2 linked regions of the Styela clava genome follow. The protein of the gene in region 1 purifies or fractionates together with the protein of each later gene. This does not show direct contact. Links are inferred from orthologs where the notes say so. Each region holds a gene or a part of one and is shown in the gene's direction. Other genes may lie near its edges.

Region 1 (11,443 bases):
GCTGTTTAGTCAATCAATCAATTTTATTTGGTCACTCTGATAGAAACGAAAAACAAAACAACAACAAACGAACAAACAAAATACAGAGGACACGCATAACTTAATAAAGAAGTTAAACTCGTGTTAAAGTAACGTGTTTAGGGCCCGTTCACGAAAAACAGTCAAAACACAATAAAACAAAAACACGATATAAAATCGGGCAATACTTTAAAATTGAATTTAAAATGTGAGACGTGTGTGTGTAACACAACAGTGCTTTTCCTACAAAACTTTGAAATAATACACACTCGCTGACGTAAAACGGTGATGCTGTAGGCCTAGTTCAATTTCATTAAATCTTACAAAAATAACACAGTGACAAAAAAATGGTTACTGAAAAAACAAGCTCGATAAATAGATTGAATGTTTCATAGCAGTCTATGCACAAATCATGGATTGGGGTATCGGGTTCTTTTGCCGTTTTCGATTAGTTCAATTCAAAATCATTGTATCCGTTTCAATGCTTTCAACATTAATTTCAAATTTCCACGAACAACTACTATTCCAACAGGTGCAGTGGTCCCATCTTTTCTGCCTCTGTTATAAGTATAAGTTTATTTCGACTCCATAATCAGCAAAACAATAAAATGAATGGTAAAAATAAATAAATAAAAACTGATTATGAAATTAGGAGAGCGAACAAAACCTTAGATAAGGTTTAAAACGTACAGAATGTATATAAGATGGAAGGTTTTGCCAAGAAGATGTGGTACGTATTCACTCACCTAAAATAATTGAAATATTTCACACACGCTCACACACACAACCATATAGAAGTTATTAAGTAAAGGGAACATGAAAAATTACATACTGGTAGTTGATAAAAAATAAAAACTAATAAAAAATAAAAGTTAATAAAAAATAAAGATGTACCTGTTCCACCATCCACAACTAGATTCAGTGTGGCACTTGTTAACATAGTTTTCCACATCAAAGATAAAATCCTAATCTGACAGTTTATGTTTAACAAGCGGCTCACATGGGTAAAAACACATAATGTTTTTGCACTTTTCGCTGCGTCAAATCTTCCGCCGCTTTGCCCAGTACCTTTATTGCTGTGGGTTGAGGCTAAGCGAAAGCATTCTCTTCTCTTGCCTTTGCCTTCCGGCAGGGGTCGGCAACTTTTTGTCACTCGCTAGCCAAAATTAAGAGTTGTAAGTCATTAGCGGGCCGCACATATTTTTAGAAAGATAAAAACCGAACGAATGGTCGATGAATCATACTTTTCCACACAGATCAGAAGTTAAATTTAAGCAGCGCGCGAAGACTGCACCAACTCGTGAACTCAACTTGGTCGTCTCACTTGAAGAAAAAAATTACAAATGACATTTAATGTGACACTTTATGTTGCATCACGCTTTTCTAAATGGGACACTGGATGAAGCCAAGATTGAAACATTTTATAAATGGGAATCACTAATCCGAGTTCTCAGATTGTTATTTCTGATGTTAATTTTCAAAAATAGTTGTTCGCATCCATATGTACTTCCAAACATCGATGTGAATTTTTTCGAATGGTTTGTCAAATTTGGATATAGTTTACTATGAAGAAGACACTTTTTATAACAAAAATCACGCAGCGATACATCTCTCGAATGGAATATATATATATATATATACTGTATATTTATTTCCTCATTGCATTGCTTCTCAAAAAATGCCATTTGAATAATTTCTTCGCCATTGAAGAACCCTCTGTACTTAGCATCAACTTTTCTGCGTTTTGTTGCCATTTGTCTAATTATAATTAAAGTATAGGCTCATTAAACGAGTAATTGTGAATTATATACTTGTTAGGTTATAATATATATAATTTAGTCTGCACGTATCGCACAATAAATTCAGTTACGTAAAAATAAAATCGTCAAAACAGATGTTTTGTTACTATAATTCAGTCAAGCGTCGCGGGCCGGATTATATTACTCCGCGGGCCGTAGGTTGCCGACCCCTGCCTTACTGCTAACGCTCTGCCCGCGGCGTTCTGGTTGTCGATATTGTATTTTGGCATTTGCAGTAAGATACAAACTTTTACGTTTTTTTTTGGCAATATTATGCTCCATCCGTGAGACTGATAACCCGACATTTTTTGGCTCACTAATAATTATTTCCCCAAATAAACCAACCGAGCTAGATGAAATTGAGCGCTTGAAAAGCTTGGAGACCTTGACAACAAAATACGTCTTTGGAGAGCTTTTTCAAGAATATCGTCAGATATCAGTGGCTGCTTGTCCTTGTTCCTGTTTAGAGAGAAAGGCGCGAGTCAACTTCGTCCTGAAAAATCATTGCCCTCCTCCCCAATTCTTGGCTTGGCTACGCTCTTTTCGTTGCTTCGGCATTTTGCCATCAGATGAATTCACCTCGATTCTTTATATAGTACTTCATTCGATGCAAGAACCGGTTTTGGAAAAATGGTACAAGGTTTTTTTTTGATGTGATAATTTTTATTTGCTCAACTATTTGTCTGAAGCAATAAGAAATTACTAAAGTCATTTGTCATGCGGTTATTGCAAAACCTGATAAGCGCAACCGCAACATCTTTATACAGTATAGTACTGAGCTTTTGTGTGACTAAACAGTCACCTAAAGTCCTAAAGTACGTGATTCATGCCTTCGGTGAATATGCAGAAGTTTGAATGCCTAGACGTAATAATTGACAACTCGCAATGGAAGTTTTAGACAATAATATGACAATCACTCGACAGTTTTCTTTATTTTTAAACATGGAACGCCGATATATAATTGTACCTTTAAATTTGGAAATAAATTTTCCATATTCATATACTTGCACATCTCACTAATCAGTTATCACCTGTTAGTCGTTGGTTATCACACACGCAACGGCTATTTTGCACGGTGTTGGGTTTGTGAGCAAATTGCAGCTAATCTGATAACGAAGGGAGACCCCTGAATAATGACCCGTCGCCCATATTCATGTTTATTTGTTTTCCTTCTCTTTTAGTGGATGCACGCGTTCAATAAGTCCTGAACTCATATTTAGTTTGTTTGTTTTTTCATTATTTTTCCCTTTTTATTTTCTGTAAATTGTTTTATTTTTGTGAATGAATCGAAATAAGATTCATACAACAATCTCGCAAATGGGTATTTTCTTGGGGTTGAAGGTCATGGAGCCAACCATTCCATTTCTTACCCTGTTTCAGTGTTGCCTTGTGAGAGATAATTTACGTATAATTTATACCTGATTATTGTTATTCGTTTATTATATTATGATTTTTATTTATTGCATAATCCACATTGTGGAATCATAAAAAAAAATATATATATAATTTAAATGTAATAAATACCCATTTAGATGATAGAATATTTTCTAGATTATTTTAGCATTCATTTAAATATATTTGGATTATTTTGGCGAAAAATGGTATTTTGCATTGTTTTTCTAGTGGCAAAGAAGTGAAGTGCAGTTCATGTCTGCATGTAGACCAGTAGACGTAGTCACATAACTTGCTTATAAATTATAAATACCAAAGATAATAAATCACTCATTATATCACAAGCATACCGTAACTACCGGTATGCTGTGTGTCAACTAGTCTAAGTGCTGAAGTGTGTTAGTAGTATCGCTATTTCGATACAAAAAAAACAATTACAGTAAAATATGAAAATTCAATGTCTGAATTTTCTATTTAGCCTACTTACTGACTTACAGGATCTTCAATAGATAGATTGATTTATTTGAAGACTCAAATAAATAAAAGGAGAAAGCGAGCAAAATCTTTAAAAAAGTTCAAAACATGAGAAATATTATGTACATATTATATCAGTATATATATCGGTATATAGCCAATATATAGTCTATACAATATTATACAATAAACACAAACCTTGTAAAACAAGGCAAGGGCCATAAAGTCAGAAAGTATATTGTTTCTTTGTATTATTCAATATTAGTGTATTTGGTATTCGGAGATTGCAGAGAGAAAAAATTTCTTCCATAAATATTGGGTAATTGTCTAATGTCCTTTCCAGTGCGGTGTGGCTCATTGTGCTAAGCGTTAGGAATACGCTCGCCACCGCATCTCTAATTACTTTACGTGGGTTCGCAGGTTCTAATCCAGTGGTTCTTAAAGTATGGGTCGCGACCCAAACATGGGTCGCGGAAGGTTTAAAAATGGGTCGCGACAAGGTCGTCAATGCAAGGGCAATCTAAGAGGAGAAGGACGAATTTTCAGCTTTCCCAATGTTTCAATTCAGCTTCTAAACTCTGGTATTTAAAAATAATGAAATAAAAAATTTCATTCACGGAAAGAACTGTCTTGAGCTCATTGTTACATCACAATTCTGATATGCCAGTCACGTGTATTATTTTTATGGCATCGGTAACCATGCACGTCGCTTGTCGTTGTGTTGACCGCATGGAATGTCGTCTTAGTGGATTAAAATAACCAAAAATGGGTGTCATTTTGGTAATGAAAATTGTAATAGACGACGCAATGAAAAAGCTCGCTTCTCGACATTAGATTATTCAATATCTAGAGAAAATGTGACTTCATCTCGAGGCACCATTTACCGCGAACGAAGCAGTGCGTGCACATGTGACGAGTAAAAAGTTGTATATTGCGAGAGATACCGAAGGCCAGCTAGGATGTCGTGTTTGCGACGGACAGCGGACGCCTTTTCTGCTACAATTCCCGACAAGGCACTTGTGCGAGCGAGGATATTTGGCACTGACGGTTATCAAAACTAAGCTCGCAATCGCTTCGATACCCGTGACAACTTGCGCATTGCGTTAAGTAAATTAGAGCTGTGTATTGAAGATATAATGAAAAAGTAAATTTCAGTTTCATCAATCTCACTGAGTCAATGGACTGTTTCTGATAAATAGTTGTCTGTATTTGAGTCAAACTGTACTAACATTAAAAACACATTTTGCGTTTTTTAGGATTGGGTCGCGAGTATTCATAAAACTCAGATTTGGGTCGCGCTCGAAAAAGTTTAAGAACCACTGTTCTAATCCCATGTGGGGGTCATGTGCGAGAGTATTGCTGGACTCCTCGCCGCTGTAGGGTGGTTCACGTAACCCCTGGGATTACGGCTTCCTCCACCATCAAGTCCATGCTTCTGAAAACAAATAACTAACTAATCCCATACCCGTCATGGAATGGTAACCGGACGAGATGCCGTGGTTCGCTACATGGTCAAGCCATCTTATGGACTTTCCTCTCCCCCGGGATAAATATGTAAATCCTATCCTACTTGGGCCTAGAGTAGTGACGTAATTTTTTGATGGCGGAGTCAGGTGGGGGTTAGGATTAACATGACACAAAAATCGTTATGCTACGCCCACTAGACTGACTAGAGGTACGAGTCCGAATACTTAACAGTAACACTCATGATATTAAGATTGATTGTTGAATTTGGGATTCCTATTACTGTTTCATTAACTTTCTCATTATTGAATATAGCATAGGCGCTCTGTATAATCTAATAATAATCAAGCAATCAGACAGCAGCGATGGCGGAACAAAAATTTGAAGTATCACAAGCTGCAGGAATTGTGCGTGATGCACAAGGATTTGCATTCATTCCTGCAACTCAACGTCCAGATGGTTCATGGAGAAAAGCAAGACGAGTGAAAGATGGTTATGTCCCTGATGAAGACGTAGCTCGGTACAAAAACAGAGCAGCAAGAAACCGAGCGAATGCTCCAGCATGCCCCGGCTTATCTTCCAATCCCAATCCTGTTTCCATGATAAAATCGACTGAACGAACGACTTTAGAAAAACTCAGTTCTCCAATTGAAAGTGCTTCTGCAGATAATAAAAATTTATCCAAATCAGCGAAAAAGAACTTGAAACGTAAAGAACAACGTCAGAAGAAGCAAAACGAGATGACGAAAGCTTCTGTTATTGCGCAATATGAAACGGTTAAAACGGAAAATGTTACAGATGGTACTAAAAGTATAAATGAAAAACTTGCTTCTGTTGCAATTAATGATATCAGTCAAAGTCAAGATGACGACAGTGCGAAAAAAATTAAAAACCTAAAAAAGAAACTTAGACAAATTCAAGAACTCAAAGAAAAAATAGACTCTGGGGTAATAGAGAATCCTGATAAAATGCAACTTGAAAAAATTGCTAAACAAGATGGTCTCGAAGCAGAACTATGGGAATTAGAAAAAGGTTCTTAGAATTGCTATAGGTTCCCATTTTAGTGACGCTGCATTGAATTTGTTCGAAACATGTTCTGCAATTTAGCATTGATATATAAAAAATGATATTGGTATCCCATAATATCCAAATGTCATATTGGTTATTGCATTAATCTAACCCAGGGGTGTGCAACATTTTTGTCGGTGGGCCACATAACCAACATCTAATCTAACTGGGCCACACGAAAACAAGAGAATGCGACTATCGCTTAGCCCTGCAGTAATGAAAGGCATCGAGAAAAACAGCAAAAAATTTAGTGCAGCGAAAAAAGCAAAAAAACTTCTATCTTTACTCATCTTAGTGACTTTTAAAACAATAACAGTCGGATTATAATTTCATGCTTAACGGGAAATAGTTTAAATGTTGACAAGAGTTACATTAAAATGCTCAGCGGTCTCAGTTGTGGCCCACGTCGCACCTGTTGCACACCTCTGGTCTAAACGCACGTATGTTGGCATTACATATTGAAGACTCCATTGGTGTTGCATGACCATCATTTGACCCAGGAAGAAAAAACAAAGGAGTTGTTAACTTTATATATTATCATTAAACTTTGTTGAGATGGTATGTTAAAGATATTGGGTATAAGCCTGCTTGTCATCTGACCTAAGAAGAAAAAATGGAGTTTAAAACTGTGCAGTCTTTATATCCTTAATGAATTCGGTAGAAAAAAAATTATCATCTTTTTTCCAGCAAGCATTTGTGCATTATGTTTGGAAGTTTCCCTGTAATGTGTGTTTCTTAGTATATTCTATCCATCTCAGTATGCTATTATTTTTTGCTCTCTTTCACCTCCATACAATTCAAACTGATGAAATTCTTTATTTGGAACTGTCTAGATTTTAAAACTTAGAATCTGTATACTACATCAGACATATAAATTGAAAATCTTGATTGATTGGGCTGTCCAATATTTTACACTATACAAGATTAAATACTTCCTAATTACATTAAGACATTTTTGACAGTTTAAAAAAGTTGAGTTACAAATTTGAATACACAAAGTAAGTGATATTTGAAAATTAAAGATGAAACTGTATATGAAATGTATTCAAATTGTATATGAAATATATAAAAGTTCAATCTTCCAAATTTGAAATACAATTTCCAAAATTTATTATTTATTAATTTTTTTTGCGTAATCTTACAAAGTAAATTAATGTAAAAAGTATGAATTAAAATTGATTTCAGATAAGAATCCTTAAATGACATACTACTGTATTTTCCAGGAACTTTTTTAAAACTGATTTTTCAACTGTATTGTAATATTTTAACTCAAGCCTCGTTTCAATCATTACTTACTACCAAATAATGTACCAATAATTCTATATAAAGGTCAGTTTATACTTCTGCGTGAGTGTCTGCGACCTTGCTTTGAGTAAATTTTCATGGAAAAAATATTGGAGACAGACATTCGATCTATGAGAATGATTTGTTTATTTTTGTAATAGTTACTTTTTAATCATCAATATATTATTTTTGTTACTTATTCATATTTTGACACACAAAATTTATTTAACAACATAGGCAAACTGACAGCTTGGCTGAGAGTTCTTTGTTTGTATTGTTCAGAAATGATCTTTTGGGGAATTACAATACTTTTAGACTTGTTAGTATGGTGTGATACGATTTTCGCTATTTGTTTGGTTGATTGTCATGGCTCTCAATTCCAGCAATCATTAATAAATATGAGTTATTATCATTTGATAGCCTTATTTTACAGAGATTTGATCTAGTAAATTCAATCTTTGTTAATTTATCCAACAAAAACATGGCGCAATACAAAGGAGCAGCAAGTGAAGGTACACGGGCAATGCATATGCAGAAAAAAAGAGATAAAGAAAAGGAAAAATTAGAACTCATGAGAGCAAAGATTGTTAATGTAAGTAAAGTGTCATCATTCGCACTTGTTGAAGTATTTTTCTTATTATGCGTTTTCATGCTTTCTCTCAGAATATTACGTTTTACAAGCAGCGTTCAGTGGGGGGACCTACTTTATTTTAGAATAAACTGAATATTCATTAGCCGTTGTCCTGGATTAGTTGGGGGGGGGGGTGAATGCGAGATCATTACCCTGCAACTTCAACATGTTTAGACATCTCCAGATAGTTTTTTGTTATAATCAATGTTTTCGCGTCAAAATTATGTTTTATGTTGAAATCTTACAAACTTAAATTTAGCATATGATATATTCTTGGTGCTTGACACTTTGTGCTTTAAAACACACTTGCTATAATCTATATTAATAATTAATCAATTGCATTGTGGAAGATCTTATATACCAGGGAAAGATGGAACAAATAGTTTATAGATTCTGATTGTATTTATTGTGTTATGTCAACTTCTTTATTTCGTTTCAGGAAAATGCAATCAAATCAAACATACATAATAAATTTTCTGCCCATTATGATGCAGTCGAAGCAGAACTCAAGTCCAGTACAATTGGTGAGTTTTTTTGACTTTTTCTAAAATTGACATCTCAGATTTTGAACAGGGATAGCTTAAATATTGGTAACCCCCACTTTATTAAATTAACATTATTAAATTAAATGATCAGTATACACATGTTTCTCAAAGCACATGCAAGCAAAAAAGTTTGAGAAGCACTGCTCTATTGGTATGGCCATTTGCTGCTATTTACTGCTTGTGGCCAATTTTTAAAATATTACAACTTGAAAAGTTATCAAGCCATTTTTTTATAGGTCTTGTAACACTGACTGAAATGAAAGCAAGACAAGATCTTCTTGTAAAAGAAAGGGAAAAACAAATTGCAACTTCAAATGAAGAAGCAAGATTGTAAGTTCAGATTTTGTTTTCTCTGATATATTTCTCAATGTGTGTATCAACAAGAAACACGCTGTTGTTTCTTTTAATACAATCATTCTAAGATAGAAAATTTTACTACGAACATAATTCCGGAAATCAGGAAAAATGTCTTCTGACAAGTATTGAAATATTTGTGGTGTTTCACACTTCCTAGTCTCTAGATAAGATAGCCACTTGGATAAGATAACCACTTATTCCTCAAAAACATCAAGATTTGAGAAGACAACTATTATTCATTCAGTTAAGCATACCCAATTAAATTGATTATGATAACGCCCAAACTGAGATAGTTGGGAAACCAAGATTTGAACCTGCTGTCTCCAAATTACGTAGTAATAAATGTACCGGTAATTTATTGCTCTTCAGAAAAAAGAAAGAAAAAGAGAAAAAACGGAAAGCGGAAAAACAGATTCAAAAATCGACTCTATCATTTGATCCAGAAGATGAGGAAGAGGAGGAGGAAGGTATGTATTTCTTCTGTCGTTGCTAGTTTAAGAGTCTTGTTCTGAGCTGTCACAAGATAAAATCACTTTTTCACTTTATACAGAAGAAATAGCAATTAAGAAAAAACCTAAGAAAAATCCAGACGTTGATACTAGTTTTCTACCTGATCGAGACAGAGAGGTAAGCACATTCACTGAAATTTGTTTCCTTTTTTCCACTTTTTCACCAACGGACAATATTTGGATCTTGTCTTAATTGAGCATGATAATATGTATTGTATAATAGTCAATGACACTCATCCAAATCATTCTGTTCTCAATTTCAATTTTTTATACAATGCTTATTAAAGGCTTCCACTCTGAACATGGCTCTGTACAAGCAGAGGTACGGTAACTGTATAGATAAGGAAGTACTATTTTTTGGAATCAACTCGTTCAATCCACATTTTGTCATAAATGTGGGATAAATATTTATTTATAAACAAATACAAAACTATTAGGTCACAGGTATGGGTTAAATCAGAGGTTCTCAGCCTTTTTCGATATACTCTTTTGGGTCTCTTCACTCTTCTCTCATTATACATTTGTACCGTTATTTGGGTCAATGTTTAAAAGATTCTTAGCATGTGTTACCCGCGACTTGCACTCTGGCTTTTGTATAATTTATAATGTGTCCATAAAATTGTATTGTAAAAGAAGTATTAACTAAACAATATTATTTAAACTGCATGAAACACAAAGTATTTCTTCTGTCCTTATTCCTCTGCTACTGGGAAATGAGATATGGTAAAGTGAAATCTCAATTCCCATTTCATGCTGACCTTGTTCTACTCCTAAACCGCACTGAAAACAAAACATACTAAAGTTTTTCTTTGTCTAGGCCGCTGAAAACAGATTACGAGAAGAATTAAGGCAGGAATGGCAAGAAAAACAAGAAACAATTAAAAGTTTGTGATATCTAATAGATCTGATCATTGTTTATTGGACTGATTATTCATTTTCGATAATTATTTTCACCATCTTTAGATGAAGAAATTGAAATCACGTATAGTTACTGGGATGGATCTGGCCATCGAAAGAAGACAAAGGTGGAGTACAATATTTTTTATTCGAAGTTATTTTTTCAATCAGGACTCTATTACAAACAGCGACTAAGATGCGACAAGCTAGCTGTATACTGTTGTCACTTGGCAGTATTCCTTTTTTCATAATAATGTCAGTAGTTAGTTGTATGTTGATAGGATTTGGAATAGTTTCAATGTACAATTTTTCAGCAGTCATGCTGGTATGGTGATCATGCATTTGCTCACCTCTTGCTGTTATATTTTTTGGTGAAAGAACAAAATAGATGTTTTTATATACTAGAAAATGCAGAGTTGGGTTTTAGGTTTAAGCTGCAGTTCTAGGTTTAAGCTGTTGATGGGCGCCAGATACTTCCAGTCACTTCTTTGCTCATGTTTTTTTATTGGCCTTAACAAAGCAGGTTATCTCAAAGCAAAGTTAACTACCATGCTGATATGCCAAGAGCTTTTGACACTATGTTGTTAGCGGGGAATTACTGTACACGTTTGTAAATACCAATTGACCAGAGTCTTGGGAGAAAATCAGGTCATAACTATCAGGAAAACAGAATGTACGGGTATAAGAAAGTGGGATTGAGATGATATTTTTGTCTCTTTTTGTTTAAATGTCCTTCCATAAAAAGCACCATTTTTGGTACTCTTAACCAATAATTAAGGCTGTATGGTGTTAAAGAACATTGCAGACTGAAAGCCACATCATATTGATTACAATAACAGTGGATGTTCGAGAAAATATTCCTTGCATATTGAAAGTTGGTTTATTCTGTTTATTTTATTTTCAGATGAAAAAGGGGAACAGCATTCAGCAATTCCTTATTAAATGTCTTGAACAATTAAGAAAAGATTTCAGTGAACTTCGATCGGCAGGTTAGTATCTAGAACA
Region 2 (10,534 bases), on another chromosome or scaffold:
GTAGTTAGGCATTACTTACAGTATATCCCGATCAATTACACATTCACACAACATACTTTTTCATTGAGAATCACCAAGTACAGAAGTGTACCATTTTGAGTAGCTTTTATTTTTTATCACTTTATTCAACAACTAAGTGGATTAATTTTAATTCTAGTGAATGAACCACAAAAACCAGAAAAAACTACTGATAACCAACGCATCACAAATGTGTGAATTATGAGAACTATTTTTTTTTCAATATATATACTTTAGCAGTGCGGAGAGTTTCACTAAAAGTGTATTAGGGCATGGCTAAAGTTTCCCGCTTCCCAGTCCGGAGTAAATTGATGCAACAACTTAGTTCATGACAAGTATAATACACTTACCACATGGCCAAATATCTCTGGTGCAAATAATTTTCCTAGTAGTTGAGTTTTTACTCCGCCGCCAAGAAGGTACATCAATCCAAAGAAAAATCTCATACAATTGATTGCAAACTTGCCCATTTTTACAGATGCACAAGGTAGACAAATAAATGCTTATAATACTATTGGGAAAATTGCATACTCTGCACTATGTAATATCTGAATAATATGGTGAATGTATAAAAATTTATATGAAAAAACTGCAGTGGGAAAAATGTAATATCATGGTGGCGAGAATTGTATATACAACATTTGAAAGTACAGAAATCTATAATATTCAAATCAAAGCTGTGTTATCACATATTAGAGTTGTTTTTATTGATATTAGAGCTGGATTCGTATTTTTAATTCCTTACAGTCAGAGTTGAAATTTTCACAGGCTCTTATTAATAGTGAAAATGGACGTCAAACTTATATGACAGAAAGTTAAAAGGCATTATGTGGACCATACATTCTTAATAACAGATAATTGAAAAGGGATTGCATTGAACTAGTTTTGTTCTATCTGAATTCAGAGCCAAAATTCCCTTCAACCTGGAGTTGGGAGACTAAATCAGATTTGTTCAACCCAAAGCCATTAGTCTATGTCGTGTTTTTTAAAGGTCAAAGGTTGTTTTACCCGAACTCCACAGCCATGCTTGAAAATCAATCAATATCCAGTCACATAAAAACACTTTGAAGATATTTTAGAATTTGTAGCACCAGAATGAAACTGCTTTCTATAACTAGCAGTCAAAAGAATGACAGATTGGAATATCCTTAATTGCAGATTTCATACTTTCGTACAGAAATTTACTTACAAAATAACGAATCAAGGACACATAATTAGCCATGCTTGGATGATAATAATAATAATAAAAATTGAAGACAAAAAATCAAAATGCTAGAAAAAGTATTCACAAAATATTCAGTGTTTTGGATATAGCTAACACAAATAGTGATTCTGTAAGATTGTCAATATAACGCAAAACAATTTTGCTCATACATGAAGTATGTTGCTACAAACTAAAATAGCGAGAAAAAACAGTGTAAAGTAAGATAGAAGAAATGTGTGTTGATTCAAATAGGTTGAAGAAATTTCATGGATTAAGCAAAACATGGACTGCTATAACGGTCAGAATATACTTGGACATGAAATGGACCTACAAATGATTGGCCAAACTGTTTCCATTACTCTTTTCAGATTTTCAGTATTTCAATTGAAATAAGTCACTAGATCTAGAAAAGACTAGAATATGAGCATTTTTATTCCTTTTTAACTTTTTTTGGTCCTATAAACCAGGCAGTTCATCCATAAATACCTAATTTGCAAGTGCAAGATTTTCTCAAGCTAAGCCTCATAATCAGTCATTTGGTCTCCATGTTTATATAATTGATTTAAGTATTGCACACTTGTCTATACTTGATCTGCCAAGCGAGGCGACGTGTTTCTAAAGTCAGTGCACAGCACAATATATTCAAATGACATGATGTACATTGACTTCTTCTTATTTTAAAGTTGGATAAAAATTGCACTATTGGAAGGAAAATAAGGCAACATAGCTTACAAGAGGTCATGGGACTCATGGCTGGCAAGAAAATTGTACTAATGGATTGAACATTTCAAAAATGCAAAATATTGGATAAAAAATATAAGAAAATGTAAAAAAATATTTCGACAATCAAATACTTCATGATTACTTAATTAACCAGGTTTGAAGAAACTGGAACACTTATTAAGTGTTAATTAGTCTATAAGTCACTGCATTACACTTTCTTTTATTTGGTATAAGTAATAAGACTCAATTTAAAAAAGCATGATTTGGAGAGAAGAAAGAGGAGCTTCATTTCCAAACCAGCATAAAAATCACTAAAAAGTAATATATATATGTATTCTAACCCTCAGCCTTCATACCAATAGGGTTCCTGCCTCACAAACATAGCAAGGATAAAAGCTCCGAATGATAAAGTAAGATTGTGCCAATAAAATTGATCCAACAAATTGAGAAGATAACAGTGACAAAGTAACACCAGTGATAGAACCATGCCAGCCAAAGGAATCAATTGTCTCGATATCAACATGAAACCTGAAAATTTTGCTTGAATTAATAATAAGTTCCATGAAAACCTGGAAAGCCTAGAGCCCAGGTTGTCTCATTGCCCAATCATACAGGTAATAATAATGGTGGTTATTTTCTTTTTGGCGGCCGTGATGCCCTAATGATTTAAGTGTTGGACTTACTAGCTATGTTGGTAATTGGTATCACAGGTTGGAAACCTCATCAATAATTATTTAATTATTAAGAGAAAATTCAAATAACAAGTGAATATACTAATTTGTGAAGATTTGTTTGTTAACAATGACCCAACTATGAAATATATTCGCTATTCTAAATATCAAACTATATTACTGAAACACATTTGAAAATTGAAATATCTAAAGAACCTAATATTATTTTCATTTTTCTTACCACAAAGCATTTCCAATGTCGCAAATATTCCTTGCATTCGCATTGGACTTATAATTTCATATAGTGGGAGAACATCATGAGCAACAGAGAAATAAACAGTCTAAAAAACCAATGAGAATTAATTATGAGTGAAAGGCGAAAACATTTCATTTATAAAATGCGTAATTGATCTCTTGGAACAGTATTATTCTAACTGGAAAATCGAAGCATCATGCATAAGTAAGAAGTTTGGGTACTAACTAATGTAGTATGTGAATCAAGATGGCGGACATCGGAATGTAGTATGCGTACCAGGTTAGGCTTAGGCCATAATTTCAGGTACAAATACTACGGAAGTCGCTTGGCTGGTCCCTGAACTCGAATAGAACTAAAATATTGAAAATTGAAATAAACTTATGGCCTAACTTTAACCTGGTGCACATACTACGTTCCGGTGTCCGCCATCTTGGTGTACATACTACAGGAGCGCTGACATGGGTGTCATTTGCTTATCGTTAATAATAAAACGTAAAGAATGCAATTATTTTCACAACAATCAAGAAAAACATTTTTCAAAGAATACAATTGAATGAATATTTCACCTATTTTACAAAGTAATCGTATATTACCATTTCATGGTACAAATCTGGTGCAAATGCCCTTCCAAATGATTTTGTTTTAACTGCACCCGTGAGCAAGTGAAGTAATCCTAAAATGAAGCTGGAATGTCCAATGGCAATTCTGTTGACTTTCTTCCAAGTTAGCATTGCTGCTAGTTTGTTTATTAGATATTAAGTAACTGTCAGTTGAATATTAGATTTGAAATATTAAATTTAGGATTCAAAAATGAGTAAATATTTTATATTCTAATTGAATATAATTTTGTTAATAAAATCTGAAAATAACTATAAATACACATTCATGCTGGTCACTCCAACGAATAAAATTCAATTACATCAAAGTAAGTACAGTAATATACAAAAGTAATGTGTAAATAATAACAATTAAAAAATTCGAGTTATGGAAAAAAAAATCTCCATATGTGTTAATTTGTCATATATTATAGCAATTTAGAATACTTTAAAAAGTTTTGGCCTTTTATATGACAGGCGTAATTGGATAAGGTTTAAAGCATGCTACATAACCTGTACCTTGCAATTTTATTTTCAAAATATTATTTCACTGTAATTTATTTTTTAATGATTTACTGCAGAATATAAAAATTTGAAATAAAGAAATTTGACTATGCATTTTCAAATGTAGTATATGTTTGCATATAAACGACATTAAAAAAAATTCTGCTAATGCACACATAAGCAAGAAACTAGACATGCTAACTTATAAGGTATACCAATAAAAAGATGTTAGTGTCCTATTTGACAGGACAGTTTATCAATGTTGAATAAAGTTCCCAAAACACTCAGTCGAGTGGAGCTAATCACGAAGTTGAGTCTCAGTGGCATTCAGTTGATGAGGCATTTAAATTTTTGATAAATGATAAATAAAATGCAATTTGAGCCGAAAGAATGAATCAAACCTGGTACGTAAACGTATATTAGAAAATATATATTATTTTGAACTGATAAAAACTTTTTTGTTCAATATTCACTATCCCATTTATTTTTACCATCCTTCCACATTAAATTGATAAAATATTCGAGTGGTTCAGATTCATGCATTTCATGTTCAGAAGTTTGTTCTGATACACATGCATCATATCCACATATTACTCTTAAATATACAAAACGGGCTAACACAGCGTAAAAAAGAAACTTTTTTTCATCATATGTGAGACTAAAATTTTTTTCAAAACCAGATAATGTAGTTTTAGCAGCATCATATGGATTTATATTAGGCGATGTCACAGTCGCATACATTGCACTCGCAATAGGAATTGCAGCTTCATATACATAATAACTAATACCCATGTCCGAAAAATCGATAATCCCTTTTACTAAATAGTTATCGACATCATTTTGCAGTTTTTTAAAAATGAAATTTTCAAGACACATATCGTTATGTATAACCCCTTTTCTTATTTGGGAAAATTCATTTTTAATACTTGAATCCTTTAATTTTTGCATAACAATAGAACAAATGTTACGTACATTTTCATCATTTACAATATTTAACCTCACATCTTCAATATGCATATTTTGTACAAGATAGTAATCATTCACACGTTTTAAAGCTGAAGGCGGGTCTTTTATTTTAAACAATTCAGCAGTCAGTTTTCCAGCACACAAACCTATTTCATGGCAAAAAGATAGAAATGATTCAGATTTAAATTTAAGGTTTTTGTATTCTAAACCAGTGACATAAGACATTAAAATTACTTTTCGAACTCCATTAGAGGTATCAATCTGACCAACATAACCCCCAGTTGTACAAGTAACTGGTTTAGGAATCTCAAATTGCAATTGAGGAATTTGTCTCAATACGTCCATGATAGCTTCAGTGAGTCTTTCTCTCTTTGAGTCATTGACATTAACTATCTTCAAGACATATTTGTCTCTATGTTCCGAATTGTGACTTAAATCAACGCATTCCAAGATATAGTTAAGGTCATCATATCCACTAATTAGTTCAACTGATAAAGCTTTATAATTATAAAAATCCAGTAATATTTTTGAGATATTTATATCAGTATTCTGCATATTCAACCTAATTTAACTAGAATCAATGATATAAAAAACAAGATGGTAATGTACAAGTATAATATTCATGAAATTGGTTCAAGTACTAGACTACAATAGCGGTCACTGCTTAAATAATGTCCAAAAAAATAGGATTTTTCATGTTTTTTTTTAAATAAAAAGAAAGACTATATGGTGCAGAATGAAATTTTTGGCAGACGTGTTTAGTTGAAATCAAACCTACTCAATTTTCAACAAGCAATTTGTATTGCAATTATATTTAATCAGTCTGATGGAATTTGTATGTATTAAATAGTAACTGACAGACTGACCAAAACAACCAGCACAAAGACATTAGGCATCGATAAGATTTTCAGAATGATGTAAAGAATGTTACAGGATGTCGTTTGACCCAAATTTGCTGAGCTCTATATCACTATACAAGTGTGCAATCTATAACATTTATAATTTTAACATTCAATGTAATAATGAAATGAATATTTGGTTGAGTAATTATTAGGCTTCTATGATTATTAGGCAAAAGATCTATCTCAAAAGATAAAACGACCTGGGACATGTTCCTAGAATTGAATATATAAGGTCAAATAACTACTGAAATATTGGTATCTTAAAATCAGTGAAACGTAGTATACCCAATGCTAACATGCGCCGAACACCACGCACAATTCCGACTAACCGCACAAAATTTAACAATCAGCAAAGTCAAATCAAGAAAGTGTCGCTATACTATACTGCTGTACTGTAATAGGAAACTAAAAACCATTCCGCGTTCAAGCGTTTAACTCCGCGACATGTTAGAAATAATACCCTAACCAAAAACACTAAATATTTGTAAAACCTAAATAATGAGTAAAATACCAAATCCTGTCAGCATTTATTAACCAAGAAATCGCCACGAAAACCCATGACGGCAACAAAATATTTTTCAACTCGCGAGCGCCAACTAATGGATTTATTTTTGAACTCATTATTTCAACGCTTCATTGAATACGATTAGTGCGACACCGCGTGTATTTTGAATTGCAGTGCTTCGCCATTTCGCATTTCAGCTTGTTGGAGCGTTTTTGTAAATTAGATAGCCTAGAGTCGAAAATGTCGAACGAATTTTATTTACGATATTACGTTGGGCATAAAGGAAAATTTGGACACGAATTTCTCGAATTTGAATTTCGTCCCGACGGTAAGAATGTTTTTTTTCTTATATCTGCCTTGTCTTTGTTGTTCACAATTATCAATAAACTCTGAAACTTGACAACTGAAAAAAAAATGTTGCAACACTGCCTTTTCTTTACTACCGTACAGTACTAGACTAATAGGAAAGGGTAATTTGACTTTTCAATAAGGTACCGGTAACTGAGATATGTCTTACACTTTACCCTGAATTTCATCACTAGCTGAATTAATCTTGTCCAAATTTAAGGAACTATCACGATAGAAATTCAGAAAGTGTGATAATATACTGATAATGCGAACGTTTCTTTGAATAAGTTTCGTGAAGTCTTTAGTCTCACTATTAGAGGTATGGTACAACAATGTACTGTTGAATAATTGCTTTTTCAATTCAACTATTCAGGCAAATTACGCTATGCCAACAATTCAAACTACAAAAATGACACAATGATCAGAAAAGAAGCTTGTGTTCATAAAGCAGTCCTTGAAGAATTAAAAAGAATCATAGAAGATTCTGAGGTTATGAAGGAAGATGACACAATGTGGCCAAACCCAGACAGAGTCGGACGTCAGGTATTGCGTCGAAAATCTTTCAAATTCATACATTTGCAATTTTAAGAAATACAAATTGGGATGCTTCCTCAATTAATTATTGGCATTCTTTTTTGTGTTGGTAATGATGACTAATCGGCAATACATTGGGAAGATTAAACCAAAGTGATTATTTGGCTGTTGAAAGAGTATTATCTGAGAAACTTCAAAAATAGTTGCAAAAGAAGGAGGTTCAGGCCAGGAAAGCATAGGCTACATGGGATAATTGAGTTCAAATGTTGTCGCTAAAATTTTTAAATTTTTTTCAGGAGCTGGAAATTGTATTGGGTGAAGATCATATTTCATTTACAACATCCAAAATAGGATCTCTGATTGACGTCAATGATTGTAAAGATTCTGATGGTCTTCGTACTTTTTATTATCTCGTCCAGGATTTAAAATGTCTTGTGTTTTCACTCATCGGACTGCACTTCAAAATTAAGCCAATCTAAATAATAGAAAGTGCTGCCTGATATGGATGAAGACCTTGGCTGGAGCAGATGTGGCAAAATTTGTCGTGGAACAATGTGGGTTTGAATTCCCACCAAATACTTTGTACTGTAGTTTCTTACTTCAGAAACGCTTTTTTATCCATTTTAAAAAAAATTCTGGTTGATATCAATTATTATATCAGCTTATGCATAAAGTCTGATCAAATGAATAATGGGACCAGTTTGATGTGTCTCATACTTCGCACAGACTATTGTCAATACCAACGACTTTTTGTTTGGAAGGTTTACACTTTCCCACTGCTTTTTTCATTAAAATGGTTGTTGAAATAAATTTTTAGATCACAAGGTTTAGCAAAAGAGTATCTATTTCAAAATCTTCCAACAAGTCTAGGAAGCTCCCGTTTAATGGATGATTGTCAGCTTTGTCACCCTAAAGATTTCATCGGTTTGGCTGGTCAGTCAGATTGTTCCTACAAAGCAGCTTATGTCACATTTTTTCAGAAATGGACTAGATTAGTTTTGAATGGAGATAGTGCCTCGTGTTCAATTTGGCTACTGCAACTAGACTTATCTTAAAATTCGATATCCTCAAAAGCAATTTGGTTCTACCGCTCTGATATATCGCTAGCATGCTTCGTTATAAGTCTGAAAAAAGTTCGTTTTGGCTCAAGTTACCAGTTGATCTCTCCAATTTCAAAGTCTGAAATTGTGACACCATTTCAAAATCTTCACTCATCGCAGGTTGAACATTACTCTGGCTCAGGCACTCAAGTCTCACACTGAGAAGCTGGTTTCAAAATTGCTTTGCAAATGACAATTTCACCCTCAAATTAGAGGTAAGATCGGGCTAAAAAATTCCAGCCCGACCCGACTCCGGCCCGTGGGTATTAAACCCGACTAATTAACTGGATTTGCAGGCCAGACCTGGGCCCGTGGGTAATAAAACCTGACCCGACCCGAGCCCGACTAATTAACTGGATTTGCAGGCCCGACCTGGGCCCGTGGGTAATAAAACCTGACCCGACCAGAGCCCGACTAATTAACTGGATTTGCAGGCCCGACCTGGGCCCGTGGGTAATAAAACCTGACCCGAGCCCGACTAATTAACTGGATTTGCAGGCCCGACCTGACCCTGGTCCGTGGGTATTAAAACCCGACCCGGGCCCGTGGGTAATAAAACCTGACCCGACCCGAGCCCGACTAATTAACTGGATTTGCAGGCCCGACCTGGGCCCGTGGGTAATAAAACCTGACCCGACCCTAGCCCGACTAATTAAATGGATTTGCAGGCCCGACCAGACTAACTAACAGGCTTTGCAGGCCCGACAAATTAACTGGATTCGCAGGCCCGAAATTTCATATTTTATTTAGGAGTTCTTCGAATTGTCATTGCAAGAGGTTAGTACAGTATTGGGGAATGCTGGGACATATTTCTTCTTTTGTGAGCTCTATAATCTGCACATTCATTTGACAATGCGGGGCTAATAGATAGAGGGTAGCTAAAGGTTTTACTGGGCAAACTAAGAAATTCCCTAGCGACACCCATATTATCATCAAGAGGCATTCAAAAACGTGTAAAATGTCCCGCTGCACTCCACTTGTGCGGCACATTAAATTAAACGAGGTATGCTGTTAAAAAGCAATGAATAAGCATCATCATCCAAAGAACTACGAAACTTTAAATTTCGAAATTTAATATTTATGAAATCGGAACCACTCTGAAAAATAGTTTCTAATAAACATATATTTACTTATAAAAAATCCAGCGATATATAAGCCCGACCCGAACGTAATGATTGTCATTTCAGGCCCGACCCGAACCTAATGATTGACAAATCAGGCCCGACGCGAACGCAATTATTGACTTTTCAGGCCCTACCCAACCTGAACGCAATGTTTGACATTTTAGGCCCGAACGTAATGATTAACAATATAGGCCCGACCCGTACGCAATGCTTGATATTTCAGGCCCGACCCGAAATATCGGGTCGGGCTCCAGATCTTAGCTCTACCTCAAATACAAACTGATTATCCCAGATTTTTCACACACCAATCAGTCTTTATAAAATTATGCATTTACTGCATTAAAAACGCAAGAGGAACTTGATAATTAAATAAGTCTCGTCTTTAGTGATTACGATATTTTCTAGTCTAATAGCACCAAATATTACAAGTTTTGCTCAAAAAGCAAACTAAATTCACAATATAGAACCAAATTTTAAAAAGCACAGAGTTATTAAAATTAGTCCAGACATCCAACTAAATACACAACAATGCAAAATCTGAGAAATAATATTCAACAAGATTGCCAATGTGGAAGTCTTTGCAAGTGAAGGGTTAATAGTGACAAGGACCGGTATGTCATCAAATACCACGCAACATATTTCTATGATTCTTCTTCTGAAGATTTCCACAAGGGCAGTGGTAATATGGCATAAATTATATATGGGCTGAAAATAACGACAGTCTACAGAATTCAACATAATGCGTTTAATCTCAATTACTTTTGCAACATGGCAGCAGCACTTTTAACGAAGGAATTTAATTAAAGAGTGAACAAAAAAAGTTAAAACAACGTTAATATTATTACAAAAGTGATCTCAATACGAATTCCTCCTCCCGTGTCTTGTAAAATAAACAGAAATGTTATCAGGCATTTGGTTGGCATGTATGAAATGAAAGAAAAGTCAGACTTATTTGCTCTTATCTGAAGAGATAAAAGAATTACATATTCTCAGAGTAAACAATGCACAAGCGATAAATTTTATCTACGCATTTTAAACTGCAAACCGTATGCGTTACAGATATATTCAGTACCGCAAATTTTA

Evidence for each region.
Region 2: the proteins of partner of Y14 and mago-like (region 1) and protein mago nashi homolog purify together in Drosophila melanogaster (affinity purification with western blotting; 4 studies listed by BioGRID, with this or other methods). This does not show direct contact. The link is inferred for Styela clava from reciprocal best matches to the Drosophila melanogaster genes Pym and mago.

What each region holds. Positions count from the first base shown.
Region 1 is NC_135258.1:14,691,050-14,702,492, reverse strand, and holds partner of Y14 and mago-like, read left to right. Parts: upstream 1-5,433; 5' UTR 5,434-5,512; coding exon 5,513-6,187; 3' UTR 6,188-7,933; downstream 7,934-11,443. Other genes in the region: protein FAM50A-like, read left to right, coding at 7,981-8,091, 8,570-8,654, 8,912-9,005, 9,402-9,499, 9,583-9,659, 10,359-10,425, 10,505-10,566, 11,343-11,427. UniProt on the Drosophila melanogaster protein: Regulator of the exon junction complex (EJC), a multiprotein complex that associates immediately upstream of the exon-exon junction on mRNAs and serves as a positional landmark for the intron exon structure of genes and directs post-transcriptional processes in the cytoplasm such as mRNA export, nonsense-mediated mRNA decay (NMD) or translation.
Region 2 is NC_135259.1:15,898,416-15,908,949, forward strand, and holds protein mago nashi homolog, read left to right. Parts: upstream 1-6,511; 5' UTR 6,512-6,585; coding exon 6,586-6,673; intron 6,674-7,066; coding exon 7,067-7,236; intron 7,237-7,523; coding exon 7,524-7,706; 3' UTR 7,707-8,063; downstream 8,064-10,534. UniProt on the Drosophila melanogaster protein: Core component of the splicing-dependent multiprotein exon junction complex (EJC) deposited at splice junctions on mRNAs. Involved in exon definition of genes containing long introns, including the rolled/MAPK gene.